2 linked regions of the Kluyveromyces lactis genome follow. The protein of the gene in region 2 interacts with the protein of the main gene of each other region in a pairwise test. Links are inferred from orthologs where the notes say so. Each region holds a gene or a part of one and is shown on either strand. Other genes may lie near its edges. The genes, in order: PRO3 and SEC27.

Region 1 (5,031 bases), on a different chromosome or scaffold from region 2:
ATCGAATCGAGGGAAAAAAAAAAAAAAATTTAAAAATTATAATTGAACAGACAAATAGAGCGCTTGACCTGGGAAAGGGCGAAAACACATTTTTTGCCAAATTTCGTAATTTTGGATAAAATTCGCGGTATTTTCTACAGTTCTTTCTGTGGATTTTGAGCGAAAATTTTTTTTCGATTATACAAAGATACAAAGGGGACACACGTATTGGACATGCACGGTATTACCCGGTGTTAACAGACGTTCTCGAGAGTCGCTACAAGGTTTTCAGTGCAGACATATGATTACCCTGACTTAGTACCTATTTTTCCTCAAGTCTTTGAAATTGTTTCTTGCCGAAACGATATTTCGGGGGACAGGGTGTGCTGAAATTGAAGGTGAGATCTGATTGGCCGAGAAAGGACAGTGTGGTGAACGGGTTTAAGGGGTGGACAGGGTAATGCAGTTGTTTTTTGTTCACGTGACATTCTCATGTGAGTGAGAATGTTATGACTACTATTATTATTATTATTATTATGACTACTGTTATAAAGCGTACAGAGATAGTTTGTGCTCACTTCTTTTGGCCCAATTCCTTGGAAACTCTTGCTGCTTCTTCGATACCACGGATAATGCCGGACTTGACGCCCTTGTCTTCCATGACACATAGACCAGCGATCGTAGTACCTCCTGGAGTACACACTTGGTGCTTCAACACACCAGGACTTTGTCCTGAAATCTCGACCATCTTGGCAGTACCTTCCAACACTTTCATAGCACACTCGCGGGACTCCTTCAATGGGATGCCCATCTTTAGTCCGGCTTCCATCATTGATTCTAGCATTAGTAGTACAAAAGCTGGACCCGAGCCGACTAGCGCAGTAGCTGCGTCCATATTTTTTTCTGGTAGTTCCAAACATTTACCGACTTGGCTAACCAATTCCGATACAATGGCTTTATCCTGAGGCTCGACGCTAGTAGAATGTGACACAATTGCAGTACCATAACCGTATTTAGCTGGAGTGTTGGTCATAACACGAGAAACCTTTTTGTAGTATTGAGACAATTGGTTCAATGTAACACCGGCAGCCAAAGAGATCAAAAGCTTGGACCCGTCCTCGTTAGGGATTTGCTGCAAGACTGGTTCCACGATATGAGGTTTCAATCCAAGAATGATTACTTTCGCTTCGGCAACAGCTCTTTCATTATCATTGGTAGCAATTTCGACCTCAATTCCGTTTGGCGAAGTTTCAAACCCGCTAACCAATTTCTCCACAAGCTCTGCGCTGGCTGGAACGTCATTGCAAGCGATGATCTTGCTTGGATAGTATTGAAGAGCTTCATCGCTGGCTTTTGGTGCATTGTAAATAGCACTCAACAATGCTTGGCCCATAACACCACATCCCACAATAGCTAAAGTGTAACGACTCATTTCTGTGCTTTGTTTATCCTGCTATCTGTCTGTATTGTACCGATCCAAGCTACAAGTGATACAAACTGAAAATCACTTCTTCCAACGACGCAATCCCCTTATATATATGTATATGTTCACTTATCGCATCTGATCATTTATCCAATTTGAGCCCGTTTGAAAAAGCAATCCATGTTGATCAATTTTTCAAACTTACATACATATTGGCATGCTATCATATTGTCCCCTCATGACCTTAAAGGATACACTTAGCGAAACAAAAGGCAGTCATTGAGGTTGTCATATCATTATAGTGAGAGGTCTGCGAAAGGCACATTGAGCACGGAATAGATAGGTATAATCTAGCTGGATTGTTGAATAGCTGTTTCTTTGCAATCACTACTGCTCTTTTTTGCCAAATTTTTCAAACTTTTTTTTTTTGGTTTTTCACTTAAAGTGACACACTGTTGCCAGTAGGAATTCGAAACCCGTGACTGAACATTAGCATTTCGCTAGCTCATCACAAGGAAAGGTTGACAGCAGTACATACGGTCTTATCATTGATAAGAGGTTTGCTATTTAGAGTACACACTTTGGACACATTTCAGTGTAGATTGATTTCGAATGGGGAAAGCGCCATGCAGGAAATACCCACACTAAGGCCTTCTGAGGAACAATTTTTGGACCCTATTGGGTTCTTGTCTTCGAATGAGGTGAAGAAGCTTGGGATGAAGTACGGGATGATTAAGCTTATTCCTCCGGAGTCCTTCAAGCCTGCATTTAGTATTGATGAGGAACAGTTTAGTTTCAGGTGCAGGTTACAGGTTTTGATGGAGTTAGATATTGAGAATAGATCGAGGCTTCTTTTCTGGAAACAATTGAACAATTTGAAAAGAAGTAAAGGTGACTCCAAGTTGCTATCGTCACCGCAGGTCATTCTTGGTCACGGGCAAATCCTACCTGTCTACTATTACGACGTATACAAAGCTGTTATCGGATATTTTGATCCAAAGAAAGGGAAAAGAACTGGCGACGACAGTTTCAGTTTTAAATTAAGTTCTACTTCGAGAAAAAGACAAAGAGATGGATCCTATGTCAGCGAAGCTCAATACAAACTAGTCGATCCTAAAATCGTCATGGAGCATAAAAGTTGTTGGCAAGAAGTTTCCCTGAAGTTCCCGCAGTTGGACGCAGCGACAACGAAAAAGATATTCAAGCTGCACATTCTTCCCTACTATCGCTTTTTATACAATGAGATGATGAAGACGCGATCCACAAAACACAGTAGTAGCCTGCGCAACAGCGTATCTGGGCTTTTATACAACTACGATTATCCGAAGTCGTTGCTTGAAATGTACGATTCCACGGAGGAATCGAACCAAAGTCGGGATCATAGCCATTCTGGGAATGAGCATGATATCTTTAGTGATGATCTACCGGAAAGCTTACGATATGATGAAGAAGTTGACGATTTCAACATTGAGGATGAAGATGAGGATGAAAAATGCCCAATATGTGTCAAACACGTTCCGACTAAAGTTACGTCTTCTTCAGTAGCAATAGTGACATGCAATTCATGCGATTTCAAGTTCCATAAGAAATGTCTTGGGAAAAGTACACCTAACTTAGGTTCCAATGGTCAAGAATGGATCTGTAACACGTGTATTATTGGGAATGGATATTATGGGTTTAAGGAACCTTCGTCTTTGTATACATTGAAATCTTTCAAAGAACATTGCGCTAACTTCGATGACCAACAATTTGCTGGAAATAAACCTAATGATATTGAAACTTTAGAGAAATTATTCTGGGAACATGTTCAAGAAATGGTACCAAACCCAATAACTGTCAAGTACGGAGCTGACATACATAGAAATAAACCTGGTCAAACTACCGGGTTCCCAACTATGGGTTACGTTCCGCCTTTTATTACAGATAAAGAATCTGATGAATTTAAACAGTTCTTGAAAGTGAGCTCGCACCCATGGAACTTAATCAACCTCCCTAGAGCCAGAGGATCTCTCCTTTCTATCATCAACAGAAAAATTTCTGGAATGACCATTCCTTGGATTTATGTTGGGTCTACGTTTTCAACATTCTGTTGGCACCTCGAGGATCAATACACTCTTAGTGCAAACTATCAGCACATAGGCTCACAGAAAATATGGTATTCGATACCAGAACGTAGTACATCTGCCTTTGATGAAATGATGAAGAATATATCTCCAGACCTTTTTGAAAGGCAACCCGATCTATTGCATCAATTGATCACGCTGGTCTCACCGTATAGTAAACGGTTTGTTGAAGCCGGTATTGATTGCTATAAAGCTATTCAAAACCCAGGAGAATATATTGTGACATATCCGAAATGCTATCATGCAGGTTTCAATTCTGGATTCAATTTCAACGAAGCGGTGAATTTCACATTGGATCTGTGGTTACCATATGGGCTACAATCAATTAATGATTATAAGGAAACCAAAAGAACCGCTGTCGTCAACCTGTTTGACCTAATGAGCAATGTATTGAACGCCTACTTGATAAAACCTGAAACATTTGATGATAGTTTTGTAGCCACATGTGTCCGTGAATTGAAGGAATGGTTCAATACCGATTTTAAAAACATGATGAAAGTGAAAAATATCGTCGGTGAAACAATCTTCTCCACTGGTTGTGAGGATGCGTACACTAACTCTAGTCTTGATCAAGAAGGTGGTAGTGATTCTATCAAGGATTCTAATCAAGATCCTGGTAGGAGCGTATCAAATAAGAAAAAATTTGATGAAGACGAAGATGACGAAGATGAAGATGACGACGATGACGACGATGACATCGATGTTTTTTGCTCAAAATGCAAAACCATCTGCCCAGTAGCCTTCATTGTACATAACAATTCGAAACGATTTCGAAGCAAAAGAAGAAACTTGGCTTCCGCTACACCTGACGAATGGAATCAGCTTTCGAATGATGGAAATATTTCAATCTTCTGCTTGGAGGAATATTTAAAGTATGTTGATGAAAAGGATGCAGAAAACGACGATGATAATGATGACGCCGGACAGTCAATTAATTCTGACGATCCATCCGAGGATGACTTCAAAAACGACGTAATGGTTTACATTAGGGAGCCAGATGAAGTGAGAAACCTAATATCTCGAGTAGAACGGGCATTGGACAGAAGGCTTAGATAGCTAGTCACCTAGCCGCTTTTTCAGACTGTTCATTGGTTTTAAACATAATTCTTGTATACAAATAATTTGTTATTAACCACTTAATTTCTAAATATGCATTATGCAAAGTTCTTTATGATACCAGAATTGATTCTATCAGATATACTGTCATTGTATTCGTAATATTCTCTGCGATCCTGTATTTTATTCTGTCAAACCTATTCTGACTTTTGACATTGGAATCCATATTCTGATTAACAATGATTAAGGCTTTGAAAAAAAGTTACAAGAAACCAACATAATATCCTATAAAATAAACCGCCATCTTAACTCATCACATTATGATTAAGGGCTGCACATTGGATAACAGTTATATTACGATCAAAAGGCAGTAATTAGGCATTATCAGATATGGGACTATTATCATCAGTGAACGTAACGTATTTCAGAATAGTATTTTTATTGGGATTA
Region 2 (18,931 bases):
TTCATGCAAAAGGTTCTCACCATTTCGAATGCGAAGGATGAAAAGAAGAGATCCAAGAAAGCTGAAGAAAGGAAGGAAAGACTCAAGAAGCTTGCTAAGTTGGAGGAATCGAAGAAAGAAAAGGAGAAGCAACGTAAGAAGGACTTCTTCTCCAAAAACGGTAAAAAAAGACAATTCAACGACAATGACACAAGTGATGTTATGTCTTCCAAGAAAAGGAAATAAACTATGTATTTTAACCTATTTACATTGCATAATTTGAATGATAGAGTATAAAGTAATTGTTAAGAACCAAAATGAACTACTGTATTAGTTAAGAGTCGCATTTGGAGTTGATTCTGAGCTGGAGATTTTCTATGTTAATGCAATTCTAAGAGACCATGAGATTCTGAAACATAGCTAAGTATTTTATGCATATATGATTATAGTTATTCTTCTCCATGCTTATTAGGTGATATTTGCAGTTATTATATATCGTTAGTAGCGCTTGCTTAACTACTTAAATATATTCAGATAGCCACTTGAAGGCTTCAGAGTAACCAGACTTCATGACAACGGAACACATGAACAACTCGATAGGTCTTTGACCTTCAATTTTGGTATATCCAGTTGTGTTCATCAAACCCAATGCAGCTCTCAATTCAGTTTCAGAAACGGCACTTGGAGAGTCAATCTTGTTACCCAAGACAGCAAATGGAACGTTGTCCAATTCCTTGATTTGGAACAAAGCATCCAATTCAATACGTGCTTCGTTAAATCTCTCTGGGTCAGCAGCATCCACTAGGAACACAATACCATTAACTTCTGGGAAATAATCCTTCCACAATCTACGTGCTTGCAAATGTCCACCTAAATCAAAAGTGGTGAATTTGATATTACCGATCGCCAATTCTTCAGAAGTTGGGTGCCAAGTTGGTTGCAAAGTAGCTAATCTATCGTTCTTCAACATATGTAACAAGGTAGTCTTACCAGCATTGTCTAAACCTAAGAACAATAACTTACCATGCTTGTTCCATAATCCTAGGGATGATAGAATGTCCCTGAACCATCCAAATAAATCCCAGCCTGCCATCTTTTACTGTATTTTCCGTACAACAAATGAAGAGTCAATAAAGAATTAGTAGCTTAAAGTGCCGTAATTTTTAAGTCGAATTACTAACTAACAGTAACTAAATGAAGATCATAAACTTTGTTTTTAAAATATGCCTGCCTTTGTTCTTTTGAAAGACCAATCTGTTCATTTTCGTAAAACGGTCAAATGTTTCTTGATCTTCCTATTAATTGAAATCACTTGATACGATTGATATAAGATTACACATTACAACTATGTGAATATAACTTGGTATAAAAGAGCAATGCAGGATGTGAACGTGCGTTTATGAAAGAGCTTTGGAATCAGTTATTACGGAGGTGTATGGAAATTGCAACTTTTTAGATTTGCTTGTTGTTGTTTTTTCATTAGAAATATCAATTTGTGCTAAAAGTAACTGCTTCCTTTTATGCAAATACAGTTGATGCAAGAGTGCGCCGGAAATTACAATGGCGACCATCAGCTCAGGTTTATATGCTCATGTAGTGCGAGTACAGTTTTTATTGAAAGCTCAGTGATAAGAAGACCGTCTTGGGTGTCTTGTAGAATTAAAACTAAATTCAGTTCCAATTTAGAAAGAAGTTTCTTAGAGATACCACACACCTTACTAAAGTACGAATGGGAGTGTACATGATCTTCAAGTAACTTGGCAGCCAAACGGATGAATGCAATGAGCAAACGATGCGTCATGGATTCCGTGATCGGGTTTTCTAGATGAAATTTTCCACTTCCAGTGTCGAACTTTATGTCGCAATAGGTAACTAACAAGAAGGATGCTGTCAAATAGATAATTGGCGGGAATGAACATTTGGATTCGATTCTATCGAGATATTGGGATATGGAGAGAGTAGGAGCTGATTTCATCTGAAAGATTGCTCTAATATTGGAAGTTTCTTCGAGGTTCTCATGAGACCAATGATCTATCTCCATTTCTATGTCATCTTCGGTTTTTGACTTGGTCGCAGAGGGCTCATTATGCAAATTATCATTGTCATTAGAAGTGTCGCCACCGATATCACTATTTCTATTGTTATCATTATTATTTTGATTATTATTCTCATCATTAGTATTGTCATTATCATCATTGTTAATATTATCGCCATCGCTACTGGCATTATTATTGTTACTATTATTTTTATTTTTATTATTATTATTATTATTATTATTATTATTATTATTATTATCAGAATCATCATCATCAGCATTATCATCATTATTATCATTAACTTCGCCTTCATGATTTGTCATACCATTCTCAGCATTCTTACGCATATCAGAAGACAATAGGAGAGCGAGTTGCAGGAAATCATCGAGTATTTGTAAGGCTTCTCTGGATGTCATTTCTAAACCAAACACCTCATTATTGTTTAAATTTGTTTTCAGTAACGAATGTATAAGAAGTGTACTATCCCTTTGGTCATCTATTTTTTCCAGGGGGAAAGATTTGGGTAATCCATTCAGCTCGTTGTGAGAGTTATTGTTATCTTCGTTGTTCAACTTATAATCGGAAACCGAGGTCGTTGCCAACAGATTTGAAAGCCGACGATCGAAAACATTACTCTCTTGATCGGACTCCAAGCCACCCGCAGTAGAATTGTCTCTATCCCCAGCTTCACTGAGCTGGAAATTAGATGCAGATCCCGCTGACGCGGTAGCTTTCGCACTTATGCCTGTCGGAGTATCTGGCGTTGTACTTCTATACCATTCCTGTACATCCAAACCGGATTTGAAGTCCGTAATTTTTTCTATATTATTTTCAAAGAACATATTCAAGTTACTAGTGTTTTCCAATAGCTGTTCCACGGTCATCCTGTTTTTGCCTTCAGCGAACCGCACTTTTTTAGAATCGGCGGTATGTAACACATCATCGAAGTTTCCGTCTAGATGTCGACTTTTCAAAGGTAACCCAAAACTTTCATCCTCAACGTCGAAATCACTTGGATCACATTCTTCTTCCCTATCCAAAACACCGTTCACCTTGAACCAATCACGCTTGTCCCCAATGAACGCGTTTCTAGGCGATGTAGAGCCACTTAAAACCATTTCTTTTCAAAAAATGTGGTCAGCACACGCTACTAAAAGATGCTGTTTACTGATCTCGCAAATCAAATCCAAATAGTAACGATAAAAACACTGGTAGGACCCCTAGAGGATAAATAGAAGCTAGTTTCAAACTCACCAAAACCAAATACCAAAACTGAAGCAAAAACTCAGTTTAACTGATACTTCTTCGTCCCTCAATGCGGAGATACTCCTAAAAACAAACCGCTATTTTCTGTTTGTAGAGACCCAGATTTAAGCAGCAGCAATGTATTGAAAGGATGCTCTAACTATTATTCGCTTGTGGGGCCTTGGTCTTTCTCTTTTACTGAATTTGTATCCATACAGTAGCACAGTCATATATATGTATAATAAATAGTAAATATAGCAAAATTTGGGTCCGAAATTGCAGTGTTTTCAATCACCGGATAAATAGCAAAAAGTTCACTGTAAAGAGGAAAAATGCTTAGATGAAAAAGAAAGCACCGCATCAATAGTTTGTGCGATATAATAATGGGAAATGGACCACAACGGTCCGAGGTTTTGGCTCGAGCGGATTTCTTCTGCGGGAAGTTTGGGTTGTAGTGAAGACGAGTAAACCAGTAATATCCTGTTATTTGAAAACTTTATATATGCATTTTTAATAATAGAGAATGATATAGGAAGCTAAAAAGGCAGTAGTTGTTGCTGGCTTAGTACAATCTGTAAGCTGGACCCATGGTAGACTTGATGACCAAGGAACCGACGTTTTGCCAGTTCTTCTTCAACAAGGAGACCAAGAAGTTAACAGACATCAAGATTTGGTTGACCAAAGTGTCTTCGTCCATTTCGACGTTACCGACGGCGACAGCCAAACACAAGACCTTCTTCAATTGGAACTTGATGGTGGACTTGACGTCGTTGACCTTTTGGTACAAATCATCGTTGTGGGAAACTGGGGTTGGGAACTTACCAGCCTTGGACAATTGAGGACCCAATAATCTTGGAACTTGCTTGATCAAAACTTCCGAAGCGACGAAAGCAGAGTACTTCTTAGCCAACTTCTTAATCAACTTCTTGTTCTTGTTCAACTTCTTCAAATCTTCAACGGACATAGCGTCGACACCACAGGACTTAGCTCTGTCAACATCGAAAGCATCACCAAAGATACAGATGGACAAGTTTGGTCTTGGGCAGACTGGCAACTTCAAAGTACCAGAGAAACGCTTGTCTCTTTGAGGATCGTAGTTCTTCAAACCGACTTGCAATTCAACGGTTTCCAAGAAATTTCTCTTCTTGGTTTCATTGGAGTATTTCAACAACTCCTTGACGTTGTCTCTAACGTGAGAGGAAGTAATCTTAGACATCTTTGATGTTTTATGAGTGGTGAGAGTCTTCCAAAAGTATTTGGTGGTCCGTTTAATAGGCTTGCGACTGTGCTCTTTTAAATTCTAAAACAAACAGAATACGAACAATATAAAAATATATATATCAAGAGAGAATAAGAGAACAACGTCCCGATTGATTAGCTGTTTTCATCATATGTTGTTATTCCAATGTGGTTCAATCTGAAATTTTTCAGTTTTCCTGTAGGCTTTGGCCAGGAGTGGGTACAAAAATGCTGGGACTGTTGAAAATTGGTGCGGTGACTGGGTGTTTATTATTTCAGTGCCAACAATATCCTAATTAGGAAGAATTTCAAATCTTAAATTGTGTCACTATCCTTAACCATTATGCGGTGTGTGGGTTAATGGCTATTCGCTTGCCAAGTAGCATCATAAGGTCCAGATGAGACTTGAAGTTGTCCTCTAAGCTGCATAGTTCGTAGTCCGTCCTGTTAGAGAACTCGCAAAGTGCACGTACTTCCTTATTCACCTTTATTTGTATCTCATCGGTGTTATATTTTAAGGTTTCTCCTGTGGAATATGTACTGACAATCAAAAGTTAAGGCTGTAAAATGTCAAATATGCAATACCTGGACAGTTAAAGGTAGCACGGTGCTGCATGCGAATACTGAATCATTGTAGGGATGAATTCTGTGTTACAGCCTTTGATCACACCTCAGTATAGGTGCACTCCGTTTGTGCTACGGCTAGTAAGATACAATTCTAATGCGCAGAACCGTTGGTTAGCGAGGCAAAAGAATGATCATTTCACCAAGGCTGCAAAGGAACAGCAGTTTAGGTCCAGAGCAGCATTCAAATTAATGGACATTGATGATAAATACCGGTTCTTCAAACAAAATCAGAAAGTTTTAGATCTTGGGTTTGCGCCGGGTGCCTGGTCACAAGTAGCGAGGAAAAGGATCGGTTCAGGTGGAATGATCATGGGGGTTGATTTGTTACGTTGTACTCCGCCAAAGGGAGTGTATTCGTTACAGGCTAACATCCTATCGAAAAAGACTCATGAATTGATCAGACTTTGCTTTGCTCGTCATATCCAGCTAAACAAGCATGATCAATTACATAAGGATCATGGGTATCTCCAGCACATGCTAGAGGAAGAGTTAAACCATTTGAAGGAAACAGAGGAGTATAAGGAGCTATTCTCACAGACAGATATCAGTCAGAACATCGAACGATACCCGGTCGATGTTGTGCTTAGCGATATGATGGCAAACACGACAGGCATACAAAGTAAAGATCATTATATGTCGATGGACTTATGTGATGCTGCATTAATTGTAGCAATCGACCTATTAAAACCGGGAGGTTCATTCACTTGTAAATTATATGCTGGAAGCGAAGATACCCTTCTTGAAAAGAGACTTAAAAAGGTATTCAAAAAAGTCGACAGATTCAAACCCAATGCATCGAGAAATGAATCAAAAGAACTGTATTTCGTGGCTCGCGGGAAGAAAACTGATATAGATAAATTGAAGGTGTTTTTAGAGGAATAATTGTACTTGTAAATATTTTAAACAGTTTGATAGAATCTTCAAGACTCACGGATTGTAATCGTTTAGTTCATGTTAATATACTAGCATATTAATACATTATTTACGGATTATGAATTTATCGTAGTTCATTTTTTCTTTTAGGAGTTGGGGAACGTACAGTTATTCCGCCTTTGCAGCGGGTTTATCATCGTCTTTTGAACCTTGAGGCTCTTCAGATGAATCCTTGAATGCTTCTTCATCTTCATCTTCATCCTTATTTTCCTCGGTATCCAACGCTTTTTCTTCAACTGCGACATCCTCCTCTGACTTATGGTTTACAGGAGCCGCTTCTTTTATGCTCTCGCTTGGTGTATCTAAATCAAGTAAGGTATGTGTATTCGTTGATGGAAAACCTTCTGTCTTACCGACAACTCCAACTCTTTCAGCAATTGCGGCTTTACCGTCATTGATCAAAGTTTGCTTCCATACGTCTACTACAGTGTTGATGGATTCTGCCGATTCCCCGTATGTTAAACTTAATAGGGCAGCTTCTGGCACCCTATTAGATTTTAATAGCAAGTCCTTTGCTCCAGCTATGTCACCTGCTACCCAATAAGCATTGAAAGCTAGGTTGAACTTACCAGAAGTCTCAGCATTCTTTGCCAATGAAACCAACTCTTCCCTATTGTTGAATGAAGAATATAACAAGAAAAGGGATTCTAGATCATTTGCCTTTTCATAACATTGCAAAGCTAAAGTGAAATTGAATTTCTTTAAGGCAGCATCACCCAATTGAATCCATCTGTTCTCACTTTCCTGCTCGGACAATATTTCTTGCGCCAGTGATAGTCGGCCTAATTTAATAGCTAGATCAAACTTCTGCTCAGCGTCTGGTGAAATTTCTAAGGCATCTTCAAACAAATCTTGTCCCTCCAAAAATCTAGAGATCTTTAGCAAGTTTTCTTTTCCTTGAACATTAGGTAGTACGGATGATTTGGCCTCAGCTAGTTCGCCTCTGAGTACCAATGTCTCGAATTCCAAAACATCAATAGATAGTTCATAACCATAAACATGGATATCTTTGTCAGCCAAATAAACTTTATCATCTCTTGGCAAATAACCTAATAAGTACATCTGCTTATCGAAATGTGCAAGATTATAGATTTTACCACCAACAAAGTAGTTTAATCTATTTGTTGGGGTGGTGAAAATGAAGACATCACCAACCCACTTACCTGACGTGATACCCTCTGAAACTTCGTATAATACGTCAAACGCATCTTCTACACCATCTTCATCAATACTTCCAGCTGAAACCGCCTCATCGTAAACATCCTTATTGAACAACAGAGCGTAAGCATTAGCTTCTTCAGCAGAGTCTGTTTCATGGTCTTTGTTGATGATCATAACAAGCTCTCCATTATCTGACCAGATTATATCCTTAGCATCGACATCAATTCTTTTCACTAGATTACCTGATTCCCAATCAAAGAAATATACGAAGCCGTCAGCTTTGACACCTAATACTGAACCAGGGAAGATTTTTTCGACACCGTAATCAAGCGGAATTGACCAAGAAGATACTTGTTTGAAGTTCTTGTAGTAGGTCACTGCACCCGTTTCCGTGATTAACGCATAACTATTAGAATCTGGGCCCCATGCAAAGTCATGGCATTTGCCGAAAGCTTTGTTTCTCCATGCTAAAGCAGTGTACACAATGAATTCGTCATCACCAACAACAGTGACAAATCTACCATTTGGGGAATGCTTCAAACTTTGTGGGAAAACGTCGATCGACCCTAATTCTTTGCTTTGCAAAGGAAGGGCACCGCCTTCTTCTACCTCTTCATTACCTCTAATGATGGCAGAGAAGACGTCAGTGGCTGATGCTTTACCACCGCAATAAACTAACTTACCAACTGGATCCAAAGATAATTTTGGTTGATCATCACCTAGGGATAGAACTGTGAAACCATTGTCGAAACCCGATGCAATGTAATTACGTTTACCAGATGGATGAGTAGCGATACACCAACTTCTTTCAAGCCCGATGTTCAACGTTTTCTCTAGTTTGTATGTATTTGCATTCCAAATCTTGAGAGTTCCATCCTCGGAACCTGAGATAATGATAGGTAAAGTCGGATGGAATACAGCATATGACACGTTAGCCATATGTCCCTCTAAAGTAGCAACATTAGATTTTGTCTGGTAATCCCACACCTTGATGGTACCGTCATCGGAAGTGGTAATCAAATAAGGCTTATCTTGTAACGGGTAATAGTCGACATAATTCACACCTTTAGTTTCATGTGCTTTCAAGGTGAAATTTGGAACATCTTGACCAATCGACCAAACTTTGATAGTGTGATCCAAACAACCGGAGGCAAATTGGTTGGGGTCCTTTGGGTTGAATGCAACAGACATGACGAAGTGCTCATGACCGGTAAAGGTTTGTTGGCAGCCCCAATTCTTTTCCCAGTTCCATAACTTAATAGTCAGATCATCAGAACCTGTCAGAACGAATGGCTTCGTTGGATGCACAGCAATGGAACGGATATAATCAGGATGTGCTTCGAATTCGGTCACTTTTTCACCGGTGTTATAATTATAAACTCTTAATTTAAAGTCATCGGAACCAACAACAACCCAGTTCTTTCTTGCAATGAATCTACCAGCTCTCACTGGAGCATCACATAATGGAATAGATCTCACTTGCGTTTGCGTCTCGTAGTTCCATATCTCAATTCTTCCTGAGTACAAGGTAATTAAAACCCAAGGTTCCTCAGGATGAAAGTCAATGCCCTTAACCCTGTCAGTTCTGGCACTGAGCTTTTTCTAAAGACAAATAAAGTCACCATAGATGAAAAAAATGTTAGTAAAAGCTCTTTCTTTTAGTTGCTGATAAGGGCTGAAGAAATATAATCTGTTGAATCAAAACATAAAACATAAATGTATTGATACCAGAAAAACGCCTAAGATACTTAATATGCAATTGCTAACGTTCAACAGCGATTCTCCGTGATAAAAGCACCTCACAAATTACTCTAGTACACAATGTGTCACATACATTGATGTCAAGTTTCATTGCTAATTTCCTTCCGCTCTGTTGGGTCTCTACCTTCGATGTTTTCTTCAACTAACGTGTTAAAATCATGAATGGATCTTTATTATTCAAATTCCCCTTTCAAACATTTTTTTTTCAAAGCCGTTGATGGACATGGCATAGGACCGGGTAATGTTATTATGATATTGATGTCAGTGTCAGTGTCACATAAATAAAGCATCAACTTGAACCGTTTCGGCTCGAGAGTACTACGAGCTATATGACTTATTTCCCCTAATATTACATCAATCTTCTCCATTTTGTATTCAAAGCTAAAGTTGAAGAATATTACTAATTATTATATTTGTTCGACAAAGGGCGCGATTTAGGCTATTCAGCAGAACAACTGCTATTTGTCTTGATAGTCTCATTTTATTAGAAGCTACAGCAGTTGTGTGGTTTGTTATAGAATGAGTAAAGGTCAACTATGGTTGTTGATTCTCTTTTGTTCTGCTCTATTTTTTGATTTTGCTTACGGGAAAGCACTATACCCTGTTCATACAATTGATAAAGCTTGTGCGGTAGGTTTCAACTCTGCCAACATGAATATGAAGAAAACGTTTGAGATATGGAGTGGGGCAACGATTCCAGTAGATTCTTTGCCTGGAGATACAAAGCTCTTCACTGGATTTAAAGTACACAGGGTATTTTATTTTCACCAGCTATATAAAAGATCAGGGAAAGCTTTGAAGATAACTTATTGTAACGAGGGTAAAGTTGTCTTTGAAACTGAGAAGCAACTTACTAATGATGTAAAGGATTGGAACCAACCGTGGTGTTTTTTTGAATCTAAAGAACAGGAAAATCCCAATAATAGTTTGAAGAACTTTCATTGTTTAAAAATGGCCAGAAGAAAGAAGTATGCGATCCGTCCATTTGATGTTTTTATACCCTACACTTGGGTTGGCGGTTTGTTTTATTGTGATGTGGATATGGATGCCAAACAAACGATATTTCAATCTTTACAGAGTGATGGAATAAGTACATCAAATGCAATGGAATTTTGTTCTTTATCTAATTCGATACCAATTCAGCCATTGTATGCATCGACTTATTCTGATTCCTGGTCAGAAGTTATGGCTAAGAAATTAATCCCATTCATCACTCTCCTGTCAAAGCGAAAAACAAAGACATATGTTCCATACTTACAGACCCCGAATTTGTCTATGGCTCCGACTAACTTTAGTTTGAGCTCATATTACATGAATACAAGTATGTCCCAGATACCTGACTTCAAGAGCAAACTTTCCACAAAAGAACTTCTCATCGATTGGTATTCAAGAAGGAAATCCTCAAAAGAGTTGTCCTGGTTTCAAGAGATTGAAGTTTCAGAAAGATATCATTATGATAAAGAAGATAATTTCAAACTCACGTTGGCAACAGAAAAATTGAAAGATATTATTTCGCCTTTGCTTCAGCTTTCAACCATAGAACAGGACAAACTATCTTTACCTTGGAGGACATTGAATAAAGTGGCCACAACTAAGTTATGGAAAACTTTAAGTATTACGGATAAAATAATGGCAGCAAACCTAACACGAGTACTAGAAAAATGCTCAGTTTTCCTTAACTATTGGGATAATATGCACGTCTCAGATGAATTGTTTGAATATGTGCACCCGTAGTCAAAAATCGATAATACATTTGTTTAATACGATGAAAAGTTTATATAATATACGAGTTTAGAAACGAAACGGCACTCATATTTACAACTTGTAGTAGGAGTTATTGTTATGTTGGAAAATATCTGTTGAGGATGTAGCATTCATATCCGTAGTACTATTGAAATTTATGCTATCACTTATCGAAGTTTTACGATGGGGTGAAGCTGTTGGAGTATCGAGTTGTGTGTCAGTAACAAAATCAAAATCACTACTGTTATCTATTAGTCCGTTTTCTGCCTCAGACACTGCTCTTGTGTGAGTCCCTTTAATAGTTTTAACGATTGGCGTTTCTGATTCTGAGCTAGAGTCACCGGAAAGATGCGAAGCAGTGACGGTAGCTTGTCTATTACCAGCGGTTAACCTGGACGAAGTGGATTTATTTCTCCTCAATGACATTTTACGCAATATCTTATCCTTGAATGAATGTTTCCTACTAATATTAGCTTCCTCTGCTGCCTCGAGTTTTTCATCGTTAAGATTATCTGTGCTTGATTCGGTGTTTTGTTGACCCTGGGTAACTAGCATCTCCTGCCAGTCCCCATCATGTTCTTTAGCGACAGTGCCAAGAGCCATTAGTTCATCAGCGACAGATTTATCCATAGCACCCACATTCGCGGATTGTCTTTGGAATGATGTTCTGTCATCGTTCGCTGGTTTGAATCTGACATCAGGGTTCTTCGAAAAGATGACAAAGCCCACATACACAAGAATTAGAATCAATAAAATCAAAGAGAATGCAGCGTTCATAATGAAGAAGACCCAAGCCATAATCGAGGCCACTGGCTGAGGTTGCCCAAACAAATCAGAGAAAAACAAGAATAGGAATGAGTTCACTAAGGTGACTGTTGAAATCAAAATGTTGAGGATATTTGTGGCACGATCCAAATATGGTTTGAATTTGATGATGGCTGCGAAGTAGGCCAAATCAATAATAAACAAAGCAAGAGCTTGAGTTTTACCTGAAGCTTGCGCGAATGCGATGAACGCACCTTTGACAAAGTTTTGGGCCATAATAACGCAGGACCAATAATAATAATTGGCGGAAAACATAGTATAGAAGAAACCGTATTTGTTCAAGACCCTCTGGTCACCATATAAAATAGCAGCTGGATTGTTGTGTAACTGAATAGATCGTTTAGCAAAAGAAATTGTTCTGAGTGACACATAACCGAGGATACCATAAACCATAATGATGAATAGACAACTCAATACAATGAGAGCCGGCGAATCTCTTTGAATAAATTCCCAGAAACATAAAATAGTAATTTGAATGAAACCAATGTAAATGTAACGCAGAAGAGCACCCTTCAATATGATCTTCCAATGCTTTCTGAAATCGATGAACCTCGAGTTTTTCAACCATCCGGCTCTGATACATAGTTCGACGACATATTTGGCGCAAATGATCAACCCAAATAGGAAATACCCACATAATATAAAGAATGTTAACCCAGTAGCAACGATAGAAGTAATTTCGATGTTGGCACTGTAACCTAAACGTTTAATACCTCTGAAGATTAGAACGTTGGAATTACCATACAAGACTTCTGCCGCACGCTTATAGATGCGGGTACTTTCCAGATATTCTAGGGATCTTTGAACCAAAACAGAAATTGTCTTTGAGGTTAAGTATAGAGTCGGAGTGCCACCAGTGGCTTGAACATACCATCTGAAAATTTTTTGCATGAAAGTGACACGGATCAATCCCATGGACCACATCAAGTTTTCGGACCAAGCAGCGGCGATAGGAGGCACAGTGTTAACATGTTCCATGGCGAACACAGTCACCGATTGGAAATACAAGAAAAGCGACATAGTATTGGCAGCCACATGTGAAGCAGCGTTAGAGTTACCGAAGGCGGATAGCAATGCAGAAGTCAACAACCCGATACCAGCGATAACAGCAGTGGCCCATTTGACACCCGTTTGCGAGACTGTCTTCCCATTAGAAAAGAAAGCTTGAATACAGGCAACGATCCCATTCGTATCACGTTCCACCACAATAAGCTTAAGGTACGCATCGATATCGGGCACCTGGTATGCAATCCCTGGGATCATATCGACATACTCATCAGATATATATTCGACTGAATCGATTTCAATCACTCCAGGGTATAAAGGACAGAACTGTTTCCAATCTGAATCACAGGGATCAATCTGTCTGTTAATAATATTGAATCCGTATGCGTACACCTCAGCATGAGCAATGACGTACCCATTGATATCGGTAGTTATATCCAAAGTATAACGCAATGATCCGTCATCCGGGTTGAAGACCACATCAAAACTGTTAGCCGTTAACTCAGAGTTATCCATACATGATACCAACGAGGTAGCAATCAAACTACGTCTAGCAAACACATTTGATACAAGAAGGGACAAAAGCACCCACAGCCTTATTACCATGTTCATCTTCAAAAGAGAAAGCTTAGCTGGAAAAAAGTATAAGTTATCAAGCGTTCAACACTTTCTAACCAACTAAATGAATAATAAGGGCTTCTTTTCCTTTACTAATTCAGAAGTCAGATCAAATCAAAATAAGCACAGTATTTCCCACGGACCGAAATTAAAATCCTGATCTATTTTCCTTTATTAACGCTTTTTCACCGACAGACGTGAGGTTAGGTTATTCTTTGTTTAAAATTTGATAAGCCCTTCGCCCATTTGCCAGCTAGCCAATTATTTGCCAGTTATCCCTCTTCTTCTGCTTCCCTTGATAAATGTCTGTTCCTTACAGATCAAAGTCTATTTTAAAACATCATCCACCGGTTTCTCATCCTCTGAATTTCATGATTTCTTCAGTTCTGAATTTCTCGATTCGACCATGCGAAGTTTCTTTAGAGCTTCATTCCTGACACGAACCGAAAAAGAAAGAAAGAAAAAAAAAAAAAAAGGACGCGAACAAACATTATCGTGGAAGACTGTACTGAGAAAGTGGTGCTTGGCTGCAACTGGACTTAATACTATGGGAAGTAAAGAACTAAAATGTTTCTAGTTGTTATTCATTCCCTTATTGTCTTAAATATGAGTTTGCCTGAATAACAGGAAGCATAGCCAAGCTCTTGTTCTTATTCGACATATATATGCGTACGTACTTGCCACACTCAATTACAAAGATGGTCTGCTGTGTGACACTTCTTTATTCAGTAGTTCAGGCCAGGTATACTTGACTACATCGAAGAAATCGGAACAGTAGTGTAATTGTAGTTGTGTCTTGTCCTTGAGTTTCTGTAGTTCTGGTTGTCTCGAACGGTCCATATATATTTCGTATTGCTCTTGATTGTCCGTAGAGACGGCTTGAACAACGTCAGATAGGTTAGCCGAGGGTACTAGGACGTGATTCATGTGGTAAAATTGTGCCCCCAATAGTTTCTCTTTGATTCCACCGATAGGCAAGATCTTACCTCGAAGCGTTATCTCCCCCGTCATACAGAGTTTAGGAGAAACAGGTCTCTTCAAAGCGCAAGAAAGGATTGCTAAGGATATTGCAGCGCCTGCGCTGGGTCCATCCTTTGATACAGCGCCCATTGGAACGTGGAGGTGATATTCAGATGTGAGAAATTCATTGATATCCTTCTCGTTCACGCCAGGAATCAACCCACGGAAAAGTATATGTTTCACAAAACTTGTTGCAATCTTGATGGATTCCTCTAGGATGTTTCCTAGATTACCTGTGGTCTTTATATATGGGCCGTTTGTAGCTCCACTCTCATCTGTATGGATCTTTATCACTTCAAATAGCAATACACTGCCACTGCCGTCCGAATTATAGGATAATCCATTGACAACACCAAATTTCTCTGAATGCTCAGTTGGAGCAAGAATCTCCTCTGAAATTGGATGGTGTGCAAGACCAAGGTACTTGTATAAATGTTCTTTGTCCACTTCACCCTGTATCATTTTGTTCTCCACGTATTCAACAACTTTACCCCTAACTATAGCACCAATTCTTCGTTCCAATCCACGAACACCCGGTTCCCTCGTGTACTCTAAGACAACACAGTTCCATGCCTCATCTGTCAAGTAAATTTTAGGTAGCTCTTTAATGGCATCAAGACCATTCGCTTTTATCTGTTTAGGCAAGAGAAATTTGGAGCCAATCATAATTTTTTCATCTGGAGTATATCCAGGAAGCTCAATTAGCTCCATACGGTTCAAAAGAGGTTCGCTGATGCCTTCGAGATCATTTGCAGTACAGAAAAACAAAACTTGTGAAAGATCAACAGGAAATCCTACATAATGATCCGAGAAGGTAGAGTTCTGTTCAGGGTCTAATACTTCCAATAGTGCGGCGCCGGGATCCCCATTAACTCTGTTACCAAATCCACCAACCCCTCCACTCAATACTTTATCTACTTCATCTAAAAGAATTAAGGGATTCATTGTACCCGCTTTTCTTAAAGCACCAATGATCAAACCACACATCGAACCCACATATGTTCTCCTATGACCCCTAATTTCTGCTTCGTTATGTATACCACCGAGAGATATTCTTTGGAATTTTCGACCTAAAACATCAGCAACGCTCTTAGCAATAGATGTTTTACCCACACCAGGAGGACCGACCAACAAAAGGATAGGCGGCTTATTGATAGAAGCCCTGTCTTTCTTAGGATGAAGGTCGGTATTAAGGTTTGGATCATTGGTAGAAATCTCGGATATCTTTAAGACACTGAGATATTCTACTAGCCTGCGCTTAACACTTTGCAATCCATAGTGATCCTCATTTAATTTTGCTCTACTTTTTGCCAAATCTATAGTTGAGATATTGACAGTTTTTCCAAACGGAATGTCCATCACAATGTCAAAATAGTTTCTTAGAACTTGGTAATCGGCATTCTGAGGAGTCATCTTCATGAACCGTTTGAAGTCCTTTTGTAACAGTTTGATACCGTCAGGATGAACATTTTTTTCCTCCAAGGAGTCGATAAAAGACTTAATTTGTTCCATTTCGTCATTTGAATCAGAATCTTCATCGTGACTCGAACTGGTTTTCAAAAACTTGTTTGGGGATGTGACGTCTGTACGTTCTTTTTCGGAATTTGCCTTCAGTATAACGCTGGAGTTATTCCTTTTAATATCATCGATATAAAACCTTAAAGCTCTCAATTGATTTGCAATTAACTTGGACTTGTCATTATTCGAAGAATTGGAGAAGTGATTATTTACATAATCCACGCTATCATCAAGCTTTTTGAAAATTTGTTGGAAGTCTTGGACGCATGTGGAGAATAAAATTGCCCTTGATTTGAGTTTCTTCGCAGTGAGAAAGTCTAAGCGTTGTTTCAATGACATAGGTAGTATACTCATTACCAAGTCCATCATTGAAACTAATTCAAAGCAGGTGTCATAATTCCTTTCAAGCACAGTGAGTTGCTCTAGATAAGCCTTCAATAATTTCCAAGACTTGTTAAAGTGAGACCCATTTAACTGCATGAAAAGAGTGTTCGCTAAGGGAGAAAGATATAAGACCCTAGAATCTATATCACCTGATCTCTTGGATGCTAATGAGTATTTTGATTTGAAGTCTTTGATTATTTTGTCTGTGTCGTAAAATATCTTCACGAAACTCAAAATGCTTTTGTTAATGCTTTTATGATCCCAGGTCCGTAGTTCTGAGCGATCGTCAATTTCTAGGATGCTGGATTTCCATAAACTATGTTGCATATTCAATAGAGGTTGTTTGTTTTCAACTCTTGCGACTGATTTGAACGTAATTGTAATGGTGTCATCTTCCACCTGAATTGCAGTTATTCTTGAAGCAGCTCCAACAGAGTTATTCACGGCTTCAAAGGGTAAAAGAACTATGTACATCTGAACTTCTGCGTCATTATTGCTATTATCAGAGCCGTACTTCTTATGGAACTGTTTGCATGAATTCACAACTGAATTATCGACTACTATTTCGTTCTGAGCAATAGCCGTGTTGATTTTGTCCAATAGATGATTATTCTTGAATGAATTATTTCGTTTGAACTCAGATAGCACATGTATAATAGAATCTCTCTCAAATGAAACCTTGTACGATACACCAGGTAGTGGGACAAGCTTAGGTGCGTCAACAAGTGTAAAGCAAGGCAAATACAAGTTTGAGCCCGGGGAATCAAAAAATAACCCCATGATTTAAATCTTAGCAAGTAGAATAAAAGATATAGCTATATTGTAGTAACAGTGTTTGTGAGATATGCAAAGTATATCGGCAACTCTACCTCGATAGTAATCTGTATTGGATAGCAACTTCAAAGTGCATAATCCGATAGTCATGGACTAAATGAGGGAAGTAACAATTAGTATATCTCATATTAATCATTTCACATTGGAATTTGACAGATCATATTACCCGCACTATCAGCAGTCACAACTATGATAACCACGTGATACTATTTTCTTTGTATCAATCCGGTGGGTTGTCAGAAGGAAACTTCCTTACACAATAGAAACTGCGTTGTTTTAGTATAGAAAACAGAACATACATAAAGGCTATTAGGCTACTCAGCGTTTTTTCACGGTTATTATTGTCCTTTTCTTTCTGAGTAACTTTGTTTTGTTAATCAACCTACAATTAACCTTCAATAGAAGGCAACAAAGAACTGGTGTTAGTACCGAGTTTTCTGTAACTGGAAACTGGCGTCAGTGCTACTTCATTGGCAGTCTGCATCCACTGCCTGTAAAGCATTGACGATTTCGAAGAAGAATCAATGTTGACTGTTTGGATCTTTGCAAAGTTTAAGACTTCCTGATAATCGGTGTCTTTGAATTCCTCTAGATGTTCAATAGAGTATTTTATCAAAGATTTCAAGAACTGCTTGTAAAGCATCTTGCCTAAATAATATGGCCCCAGAAGTATGGTGTAACAACATTGTTTTGCCATATGGGAACCCTCTCTAACCTTCTCATTATCAATTTTCTTTTTGAAATGAACAAGAGCTGCTTTTTGACGCATAATATCCCCAGCAGTGTATATTGGGTATCTGTCAATAAAGTTCTGCATTTTGATGTAACTCTTTACTAACTTCATCATGATAACTCCTCTAGCATTTTGTTGAATATTGGTGTTGTTATCAACAGCAACCTCAGAAACTGGTTCTCCTGTCCAATCACCTTTCAATTTTCTTTTTGTAACTTGCTGAGAGGCATATTCCTGACCGTCAATAGATAGATATTCTTCTGGTGTTGTTTCTGGAATATTTTTCTTGTCAATTACAGACCCAATAGCATTGGTGCTGTTAAATTGGCCATTGGATTCGGCTTCATCTTTTGACTCTGAGATAGATTGCGACAAAAAATCATTCATAAGTTTCAACTCTACTGAATTTTTTTTGTCATTTGGCATTTTTTCAGACTTAACAGATGTTTCACAGGAAGAAGAGGCACAATTACTTTCAGACATCACCTTCTCGATAATGCTTTCAAGCTCCTTTGAAAAGCTATCAGATGATTCTGATATCTCACTAAAATTTATAGGACAATCATAGGCGTCAAGTTTGTAAAATGGAGTTGGTAACCGGCTTAAACTCTGAGAAGGTAAAGGCTCAAAGATATTCTTTTTTGTCTTCTGCATACCAGTAATATGGGCAAACATGGTCGTTGGTGACCTCCCATTTATTGTTTTGGGGTGTAATAATGCAGACACATGTGCCTTTTTATACTTTTGGCCTTTGGATTGAGATCAAGTTTTGAAACTGACGTTTCCAACAGTTTCTAGATCCAAATAACATCAACAATCAGCCATATTGCGAAATAAATTTCATTAACGCAGAGTTCACTGTATAACTTGTTTATTACTTATCATCAATCTAGATTCTAGCACTGAGTTCCAGATAGTACGTTTTGTCACTAGCACATGTCTTCTGAGGGTTGGTTGGTTTTGGAAATTAACAAGTAGCAAGTGAAAAAATAGAAAGGGTGAATATATACTTAACTAGAGCAGCTGCACTGGGTCATCAACAAATCTTCATCCTCAGTGACATTCGTCCATTTTTTCTCTAGTTCGGGTAAAAAAGAACTATCCCAAGCTGATTTATCATATGGGTTGGTTGCCATCAATATTAATTTCTGAAGAGGGCCATTGTCCAATTTTGCATCCGGGTCGTTGAGTTCATTACGCTGCTCATCGGTGTAATGGTTTGCAACACTTTCAAGTATATAGTTTCTGGGGATGAATAACGGATTGAATT

The links.
Region 1: the proteins of SEC27 (region 2) and PRO3 interact in a protein complementation assay, tested with the Saccharomyces cerevisiae proteins (2 studies listed by BioGRID). The link is inferred for Kluyveromyces lactis from reciprocal best matches to the Saccharomyces cerevisiae genes SEC27 and PRO3.

What each region holds. Positions count from the first base shown.
Region 1 is NC_006040.1:915,097-920,127, forward strand, and holds PRO3 (pyrroline-5-carboxylate reductase), read right to left. Parts: upstream 1,412-5,031; coding exon 554-1,411; downstream 1-553. Other genes in the region: JHD2 (histone demethylase), read left to right, coding at 2,029-4,581; ILM1 (Ilm1p), read left to right, coding at 4,972-5,031.
Region 2 is NC_006038.1:160,787-179,717, reverse strand, and holds SEC27 (coatomer subunit beta'), read right to left. Parts: upstream 9,073-18,931; coding exon 9,055-9,072; intron 8,823-9,054; coding exon 6,168-8,822; downstream 1-6,167. Other genes in the region: GTPase BMS1, read left to right, coding at 1-225; Arf family GTPase SAR1, read right to left, coding at 500-1,072; KLLA0_B02024g (uncharacterized protein), read right to left, coding at 1,550-3,133; RPL1B (60S ribosomal protein uL1), read right to left, coding at 3,823-4,476; MRM2 (21S rRNA (uridine2791-2'-O) methyltransferase), read left to right, coding at 5,139-6,008; KLLA0_B01936g (uncharacterized protein), read left to right, coding at 9,501-10,715; KLLA0_B01914g (transient receptor potential ion channel family protein), read right to left, coding at 10,797-13,166; KLLA0_B01892g (uncharacterized protein), read right to left, coding at 13,863-16,874; KLLA0_B01870g (uncharacterized protein), read right to left, coding at 17,317-18,336; FMP40 (Fmp40p), read right to left, coding at 18,672-18,931. UniProt on the Saccharomyces cerevisiae protein: The coatomer is a cytosolic protein complex that binds to dilysine motifs and reversibly associates with Golgi non-clathrin-coated vesicles, which further mediate biosynthetic protein transport from the ER, via the Golgi up to the trans Golgi network.